Oryctolagus cuniculus: one gene and its partner. The protein of the gene in region 1 purifies or fractionates together with the protein of each later gene. This does not show direct contact. Links are inferred from orthologs where the notes say so. Each region holds a gene or a part of one and is shown on either strand. Other genes may lie near its edges. The genes, in order: NIPSNAP2 and HADHA.

Evidence for each region.
Region 2: the proteins of NIPSNAP2 (region 1) and HADHA purify together in Homo sapiens (affinity purification with mass spectrometry; 3 studies listed by BioGRID and IntAct, with this or other methods). This does not show direct contact. The link is inferred for Oryctolagus cuniculus from reciprocal best matches to the Homo sapiens genes NIPSNAP2 and HADHA.

Annotation. Positions count from the first base shown.
Region 1 is NC_091450.1:65,783,880-65,788,441, forward strand, and holds the start of NIPSNAP2 (protein NipSnap homolog 2), read left to right. Parts: upstream 1-1,661; 5' UTR 1,662-1,738; coding exon 1,739-1,830; intron 1,831-1,838; exon of another isoform or gene 1,839-3,912; intron 3,913-4,562. UniProt on the Homo sapiens protein: Protein involved in mitophagy by facilitating recruitment of the autophagy machinery required for clearance of damaged mitochondria.
Region 2 is NC_091433.1:176,564,002-176,568,558, forward strand, and holds the start of HADHA (trifunctional enzyme subunit alpha, mitochondrial), read left to right. Parts: upstream 1-1,667; 5' UTR 1,668-1,739; coding exon 1,740-1,806; intron 1,807-4,557. UniProt on the Homo sapiens protein: Mitochondrial trifunctional enzyme catalyzes the last three of the four reactions of the mitochondrial beta-oxidation pathway.

The DNA of each region.
Region 1 (4,562 bases):
CTAGGTCCGCTGCAGGTGGGGCTGTGTGGTACCCATTAGCCTGGAAGGATCCAGGAGAGCGCCAGGGTGGCTTTCCCAAGTGTGCCCCCAGCCGATGACAGGACACTTGCACCACAGCTCTGGGACAGAGTCCAGGCCATCTACAATATTTCAAAACCTCACATGCATGCTGTAATGTATCATTTTTATTTATTCTTTTCCTGAAAATCTCAATGTAAAAACAGTGCACCAGGAAGCCCTGTGTTTACTCGGTGGCTTTGAGTAGTACCCTAAGCCTAAGCCACACACCTGTGGAATGAATACTCCTCCCCCATCCCAACTGCCAACAGAAAGCAATGGATTCGTGGAACTCCAGAGCCAAACGACAGTGGAGAAGGAAAATTCAGAATAAATGGCCTGATGGTAACACAAAAGCAAGACCAGCAAAGAAATGTCTAGCCACCAAAGTTACCTTTCAGGGGAATGGACTTGAAAGCATTCGAGACAAGCTCATGAGACAGAGCTTGGGAAGTTAGGGCAACGTGTGAGATACTCTCCAAGCACTCGTCCACACTTGAGCCGTGATTCGCAGGCCTGGGACAAGTCCTTTCCATCCCAGGCTGCGCTCACTTCTTCTGCCCGCCTCTTGGGTCTCAACAGCCTCACTAAACCTAGGTCCACAGCCTCTGTCTCACTTTCTCACTGGCATCCTAGGGACAGGTGCTTCTCCCCAGGCTGGGGCAAGTCCTTGCTGTAGCTTCCTCTGTAGCATCCATCCGTGTGCTCCCCGGTGGTGCCTTGTCCCAGTCAAAAGACTCTAGAGCTGGGCCTCTGAGATGACCAGCCTCACAGAAGCCGCGAGCTCGGGAGCCTTTTGCTGCCATCTCCGTTCCCCCATGCAGAGACCTCCCAGCAGCCCAGCCCTGAGACCCTTTCCCTCGCCCCTGCAACCCCTCAGTGGCGTGGCCGCCTCCATATACCCCCCTTGGCGGCGGGGACCCGCGCTCCTCCCAAGTCTCCTCTGTAGGCCTTGCTAGGCTGTCCCCACCTTGTCTCACGGCTTTCGCTTTGAAAATGGTTCCCTCTACAGCGCCTCAGGGCTTCAGTGGTTCCTTCCCCCAAGGATCGCCCTGCCCTCCGTCCCACCGGTCCAGCCTTTGGGACCCAGCTGGCAGGCCAGTTCTTGGGAAACAGCGTCCACTTCGCCCAACCTGCACTGGTGACCTGTCCCCCCGGGTGCTGCCTGTTCTCCCCGCCCCCGACCGTGACAGGTTGAGGTCGGCGCCCTCTGGGTGCTGAAACGAACTGTCCCGGGGCCACGGCAGAATTTGGGTGCATGTCCACCCAGAATGCTTCTGTTACAATATAACCTTTAGTAGCAAGGTGGTTAATAAAAAAAAAAAAAAAAAAAAAAAACGAGCTTCGAGGACACGCCCCTCCGCCACTTCTTGGATCCCCTTCGCAACAGCGGTGCTGTTTTTCCGTGCTCTTTCCACTCGTTTGCAAGCCATGCCCAGTCCTGGACGCCGAGGGCCTTGTCTCGCAACTTTTCTCCTGCTTCGCGCTCCGAGCGCCGGGGACTCAGCCGCCGCGGCCGCACCCAGCTCCCCCTGGCGGCCGCGCCCCGCGCTGCAGTGGCCGCGCGCCCCGCCCCGCCCCGGCCCGGTCGGGCCCGGCCGGGGGAGGGGTCCCGGCGGCGGTGGCGGCGGCGGCGTCAGCGGCGGCGCCCGGGCGGTGGGAGCCGAGGCGCCGGAGCAAGATGGCGGCTCGAGTGCTGCGCGCCCGCGGAGCGGCCTCGGCCACAGGCCTCCTGCAGCAGGCGGCCCCGCGTAGCCTCCTACCCAGGCTCCGGTGAGCTGCGCCGCCCTTTCCGGGAGCGGCCGGGGAGGGGCCGCCACGGGGCAGAGGGCACGGGGTCCTCGGCGCGGTGTCCGCCCCGGTCCGGCCGCGCAGGGCTGCCCGGGGGCAGAGGGGCAGTGGGAGCAGAGGTCGCGGGAGGCGGGGCCCGGACACACTGGAGCCTCGGCGGGGTCGGGGCGCCTTTACCCTGCCCACCGGGCTCAAGGTCACGGCGGGGACGGGCCGGGGCGCGCGGCTCCGCCCTCGCCGCGGGGAAGGCGCCCGCTGCGCGCCACGCCGGCCCGGCCTGTGGGACTTTGACCGGGGGCCGGAGGCAGAGCACGCGCCCGAGGCCGCGGGGCCTGGACGCGCCGTGCCCGGCTTCCCGCCCAGAGCCCGGGTGTCTGCGAAGGGCGTGCTGACGCCGGCCGCTCCCTGGTCCCCCGGGAGCCCTCGGTGACGTGGTGGGGGGACTGGGTGAGAAAGTATTACAGTGACCAGCGCGAAGTGTTGAGGCCTTTCGTTTTTTCCTCCCTAACCTCATTGGATTAACTGTTTGGTCATCTGAATCTGTCACTGACATTTCCACCTTAAGTAACCAGAGCCCATCCTAACGCACCTGTAGATTTTGCTTTTTTTTTTTCCTTAACAGGGTTAGTTTGGAAGTTAAGAGATGGGACCTCTGAGAAGGTGAAGCGTACCAATGGGGAAAGGTGTTTTTGAACCCTGGTCTAGCCATCTTGGGGCCCAGCGCCCGTGCCTGCAGGGATGTCCAATTTATCCAGGTTGTCCAGGTTATGAAGGGACTTCTGGAGAGTTCTTAGAGAATTTAACATTATCTCTTTCAAAATTTACTTACTTATTTTAAAAGAGAGAGAAAGATCTTCCATCCACTGGTTCACTCCTGAGATGGCTCCTCCAATCAGGCCTGGACCAGGCCAAGGCCAGGAGCTTCATTTGGGTCTCGCATGTGAGTGGCAGGGGCCCGGGTATTTGGGCCACTTTCCACCACTTGTCCCAGGCCATTGGCAGAGAGCTGGATGGGAAGTGGAGCAGCTTCGGGACACAGACTGGCACCCAAGTGGGATGCTGGCGGGGCACGCAGTGGCTTTATCCACTACGCCACAACACAGGCTCTAGCACTATCTTTAAATTCCATTTTCCACAAACTTTTGGAAACCCTGCCCCACCCCACCCCCATACTTAAATTTGTATTCAGGTTTATTAACGAATCAACTTTCTTTTATTTTTTATAGTTATTTGTCATCTGTGTTTTTTTTTTTCCCCACACAGCAATATGAGCCTACCAAATTTGTATTTTGTTCCTTCCCAAAGAGATGGCAAACACTGAAAATATTTACTCAGCGTGTTTGCCCAAGTTACCCAAGGTCACAAAGTTAGTAAACGAGCTTTGGACTAGGTCTGCCTAGTATCCCCACTTCTCACTGGGGCCAAACGCTGTTGACACCGGAGTCCTCATCTCTGTCTCACTTGCTGGGTCCTTCTGCACTCTGTCTACTTCCCTTCCTGGCCTCCAGTCTGACTTAGGGGTAGCCATTGTCTAACTCACTAATTCTGCCAAATACCGCATGTGCAGAACGCACTGGGAGCCCTGCAAAACTGGGCATACCAGCCAGGGTGTCTGTCCTCGGGGACCCAGGAAAGGAGGTGGGGAACAGGACCAGAAAATTTCACATCTTGTGGGAGACCCTGAGAGCCGTGGATGGCCTTTGAAAGCATGAACTGCAGCACCACATTGTCCGATCCGCGTGTTTAAAAGATCTGTTTGGCTCTGGGGAGGGAACAGAATCAAGGGTAATCGCCAAGTTAGCAAATGCTAGTTCTGTTTACTAAGAGTTGTTCGTTCCTTAAATATGAGCGCCTGTTGCACTGTTGGCTGTTAGGAAATGTCAGTAAATAAGATAAGCTAGCAAGGCCACCCAGCAGCTAGCTAGCTAGTTCAGGGAGGAGAGAGGCAGGAGGGACTCAGATCAGCTTAGAACCTGGGAAAGCGTTGAGATAGCCAGGCCTGCTATTCAAGTGGAAGTAGGCAGTTGGCCACTTGACTCTTTGAAGGAGATGTCTGGACTGCAGGTAACATTTGAGAGTGGACAGTGTATAGGAATGCTGAATTGTTGGTTGATGAGTTTCATTAAGACTGTTTGGTAATCGGTTGAAGGAGTGGATGAGATTGCTTAAAGAGCGTGTGGACAGAGGAGGGGCTGAGAAAGAAGCCTTGGGATATGCCAGTGTTTACAGGCTGGGTACGGGAGCGGGAGCCAGCAAGGGAGACTGGGAAGAGCAGGCTGCAAGGTCATTGTTCTGTGTGTTTCAAGGAGAGAGGGGTCAGCCGCGCCAGGTGCTGCTGAAAGGCTGAGGTGACAGCGTGACAGGAGGAAACTGCCCTTGCTGACAGGGTGTTGTGGGTGACCTTGCCAGGGCAGTGCTTTCTGGAAAGGAGGAGGAAGTCTTCCTGGGCGGCTCAGCCCTGCCCGCACATTTGCCAGCTTATCTCCCTTAGCTCTGCTCAGCACCAGGCCCAGAGTTCCCAGCTGCCTACTGGACACTTGTCCCACAGGCACTCAAAATGCATATGTAACTAAGAGAATACCTGGAAGGCTGTGTATTGAGGATGGATGCTTGTTCACAGCCATTGTCTCTTCCATTGAGGAACAGTCTGTTTGGTTTTGTTTGATTTTGTTCTGTTTTCTTTCTCTTCATACTATTTGCTGAACTTGTTTACT
Region 2 (4,557 bases), on another chromosome or scaffold:
CCAACCAGGACTAGAACCCAGGGTGCCGGCACCGCAGGCGGAAGATTAGCCAAGTGAGCCGCGGCACTGGCCAAATAAAATAAATCTTAAAAAGAAAAAGACCCTTCTTACAATTTACTCAGAAGTGGTTATCCAATTTCTGTTTAAAAGGCTAGGCTCACAGAGCTGGAGAACTCATTTCAAATAAAGATTTATTTTATTTGAATAGCAGCATTACAGAGAGTGGGCGGGGGTGGGGGGGAGGAATGAATCTATCTTCCTTCTGGCTCACTCCCTAAATGGCCACTACACCCAGGCTGGGCCATGCCAAAGCCAGCAAAGCCAGGAGCCCCATCAGGGTCTCCCCGTGGGTGCAGGGGCCCAAGCACTTGAGCTACCTCCTGCTGCCTTCCCAGCCCCATTAGCAGGAAGGTGGAGAGCCAGGACTCAAACTCGAGCCCAAATGGGACCTCAGGCGGCACCTGCTGTGCCACAACGCCGGCCGAGGGCTCACGATCTGACTTCATCTTAAGTTCCCTGCCCTTTCCCACCGCAGAAGCCTCCTTTCGGCGGGGTTCAGCTTCATATCCGAATCCTGGCAATCTGAATCCCGGCTCTGCCAAGAACCAAAAAATTTACATTCTCTCTCCGCGCCTCCCAAACTTCGTTTAGAAAAATGCAAAGGATAACAATGATTTTGGGATCGTGAGAACTAAACAAAATGGTGTCAAGGTGCCCTACAGGAGGCCACTAGTGTCACCTGCTTTTGAGGCCCATTCCCTTTAGAACACGATTCCAAGTCTCCTTTCCAGCAACAAAATAGCTGTCCCGCGATGCAGAGCTCTCGGGAAGAAGTTAAGACTGGGGCCCTGGTCTCACTTCTACCACCTGTGGCCAGAGAGTCACTCTGATCCGCTGGATTCAGTTCCTTCACCGATAAAGTGAGGGAGAGAATGACCAGAGGATCGCCGGGCCCCTCCTGGGTTAGAAAACCCCCGGAGCAACGGATCACCACGCAGGACCAAGGGCTGAGTCAGTTCCTTCCACCCTCATCCCAGCCCTTCCCCGAAATCGGGTGAAGCTGGCGAGCAAGGCACGCACCCCAACACGGCCCGGGCTTGAGGTCCCCACACACGCAAACAGCTCGTCGACTTGCGGTGGTAAATGAAGACGCGGGTGACAGGCTCAGAGCCAACCCAGACCCCTGCCCGATCTGCAGCTGGTGCCGTCTTCCTCCCTCCTCCTCCGAGCTCCCTTCAGCTCGCTCGACCGCGACTCTCCCGGGGGCGAGAGGCGGGCGCGGGCCGGGAGCTCGCCTGCGGGAAACGCTCTAAGCATAGCCGAGCACACGCCGCCGCTCACCTCAGTCGGTGTCGACGCGGATTCTCGCTCCGGGCAAGGTTCGGATCCAAGTACCAAGACTGTGCAGGACCCCGGGGCGGGTCCTGCCTAGAAAGGCCCCCTCGTCCCCGCCCGCGGGTCCGGCAGGCCTCACAGGCTGCCCGCTGCCCGCCTGACTGGAAAAACTCGACCCTCCGCCCCCTCCTCCCTGGGCCCCTGTTCTCCCGCGGAGAAAGCGTTCTTCCGACCCCGTTACCCGGGAACGAAGCGTAGGGTTACGGGGCCGGCGGCAGCCCGGCCTCTGATTTTTAGTCAGGCAGTTCTTCGGCCGCCTTGGCGTCCCTGCCACGGGAAGAAAAGTCCTCTGCCGCTCCGCCCCGGCTAGAAGCGCTTTCCACTTTTCGTCCTCTTAGCTCAAGATGGTGGCCTCCCGGGCAATTGGCAGCCTGAGCCGCTTCTCTGGCCTCAGGATCCTCCGCTCCCGAGGTGAGCCCTCTTTGAGGGTGCCCCCGAACGCAGGGTGGAATTCCGGGGTCTGGGGCGGCCCCGTGCCGCGGCTGCCTGGTGTTCCTTCGGGCCCGCAGTCGCCGGGGGCCCAGCCTTCGTCGGGGGGGATACTGCCCTGGGACCCCGTTTGCTGTGTCCTTGCGGAGGGGCTGTCTCTCCTGCCTCCCGTGTCGGTCCTGCGGGCTTGTCAGGCTCTGCAGCCCCTGGGTTTCTGAGTCCTCTTCACCCGGCCCGGCGCCTTTTCCGCAGGGCTCGCGGGCTGCACTTGCGGGCTCACGCCCCTCTTGCTTGCGTTGGTGTTGGTCTTAGACCAGGTGCGACTAGACTGGGAGCTCCAGGAGCACCCGGACCCAGGCTGTGGCGTCTTTGTGCCCCCACGGGCAACTTGCTTCCTGCTTGGATGTCTTTAATACCAGCCTAGGAGATCGCGGCCGCTCCCCTAATCTTTACATCACAGCCATTTTTTAAAAAAAATTATTTCTACGTTTCAGTAGGGAGCATAACTCTTGCAGTTCTAGTACTTACAGTGTTGATAGAGAGTATGTTGAATTTGAGGCTCTGAACTTACTGGAAGGGACATTTTTAAGGTATGCAAATAGCTAGAGTTCTTAAGGAATAAAATGTTAAGTCGTGTAAAGAACTGGCTCTAGTCTTGTTTGTGACTGTTCCCGGCTAGCCTATATTAACAATATTGTCCTTTTCTCCTCGGGCTGGTATTAAAACGATTAAAGTGGGTGGTTGTCTAAAACCTAGCCTTTTCCTTCCACCCCAAGTCTGTAAGGTCAGGCGTAACTTTTTATTGCGTGTTGTATGTTATGTCAGTTACTCAATTAGACATTTTTACTTTTAGCTTAATTTGTAATATGAATTCCTTTCCTTACTCCTGAACCAAGGGGGAGCATGCTTTTATTATTATTATTTTCTTAAAGACAGGTAGCTGGAGTCTTCCCTTGCTGAAAGGGATTCGTCGAATGCGTGAATCTTGTTCTACTCATGTTTTTAGTCTCCGCAGGACTGTCATGTGTTATTCCAATCGTAGCATAAACCTATTGCAGAAAACTGAAACGCACTGAAGATCAGGGAGGGGTTGAGAACGTGGGATCTTCCAGCGTCTGTGCCTGCCTTAGCCTTAGGCTGTGTTTCCTTGCAGGTTTCCTACCCCGTTTTCCACATTCATGCTTCATGCTTTTGGAGGGGGGGTCGTGTCATTGACTGTGCCCCTGCGTTGGCTGTAAGGTGTTTCTATGGACTGGCAGCTTGTGAAATGCTGAAATGATAGGTCATGTGGGGTCTAGTCACTAAGAAGCCGTGTGACTTTGGACACGCACCCTGATGTAGACGGGATCTGTGCCCGTTTGCAGAATGAATAATTGAGACTAAATGTCTCTGGCATGAGAAGTAGCGTGACATAGCAATCAATGGCATTCGACTGGGAGTCTGACTTCTGGTTTTGAATCTAGTTCTGCCTTTCACCCTCTGGTGACCTTGGGCAGTTCATCTGTCTGTGTTGTCATCTTAAAATGGAGAATAGTGCCACCTCCTGAACTCTACCTGAGTTATTCTAATTCTGAAGCAATTTTCCATAGAATAAGTACTCAGTAAATATAAGCTATTATTAACTCCCGCCTCAGAGAACCATGATTATGTATATATGAGAGATTTTTGGAGCACATTTTTCCATTTTGAACGTGTAATAAAAAGCTATCAGCTTAATTTTTCTGTTTTCTGTATAAACACATATGCATGCACATAAATGGTGTTTTCCCCAGTTAAAAAATGTAGCTTGTTATTGGTAAGGCCTCTCTTAATAGCAATTAAAAATGTCTTGAAAATGAATTTAAAATTACCTGCACACCTGGATTCACATTTCGACACAACGGATTCATACTTTACCTTGTAGGTCTGTGTCATGACATTGCCCAACATTTAATAGATGTATGACATTTATTGGTGGGTGATTAAATTATCTGAAAATTGACTTGTGATTCTTGAAATTTTAAAGCGTTCCCACTGTACAAGTGTACTGTTCTAAATAAGACTATTGTGACTATCAAATGAAAATTTCGTCTTGACCAAGATACCTTATCGGATTCCCATCCCTACCCTAAAGCCAAACTCCTAATTATGTTAAGTGGTAAAATAGTTTCACAGGAAATGAATTAGAGGCAAATACCTTAGATACTTTAGTCGATGGTATCTCATTTTTAAATTTGGCTTTCACTAACTTAATCCCATCCCTTCTTGAATTTTGAGAAAAGCTGTTGATTGTGAATGACCAAAGTGACATTTTCAAATTTGAAATTGGTGTCAGCATAACCCAGCTCTGCACTGCCTGTAGTCTTAGGAGATCTTAGAGGATTTTTTTTTTTTTTTTTTTTTTTTTTTTTAGTTACATCACAGCAATGATTAAAAAGTAGGCCAAAGGTTTCTTTCTCCTTGGCTGGCCCAGTAGATGTAGGCCAGAGTTCACACAGCTGCTGTGGAGTCAGCTTTGCTGTTTGGTTGAAGGTTAAGTATAGATGGCCAAAGCCAAGCTTCCGTGTTATCTAATTGTGGTTTGGAGTTCTTTTCTGAACATGTTTGTGTATTTACTGAGTCTCTCCTCTCTCCCCTCCTCTTGTTTCTATTGATTTAGAAGAAGTTATATGTGGGGGTGTGTGCAGCAAGGGTATGTTAGGGGGAAAGAGTTAAAATGGCTTAAACTGTAGGCTGATGAGCACCAACCTGTTG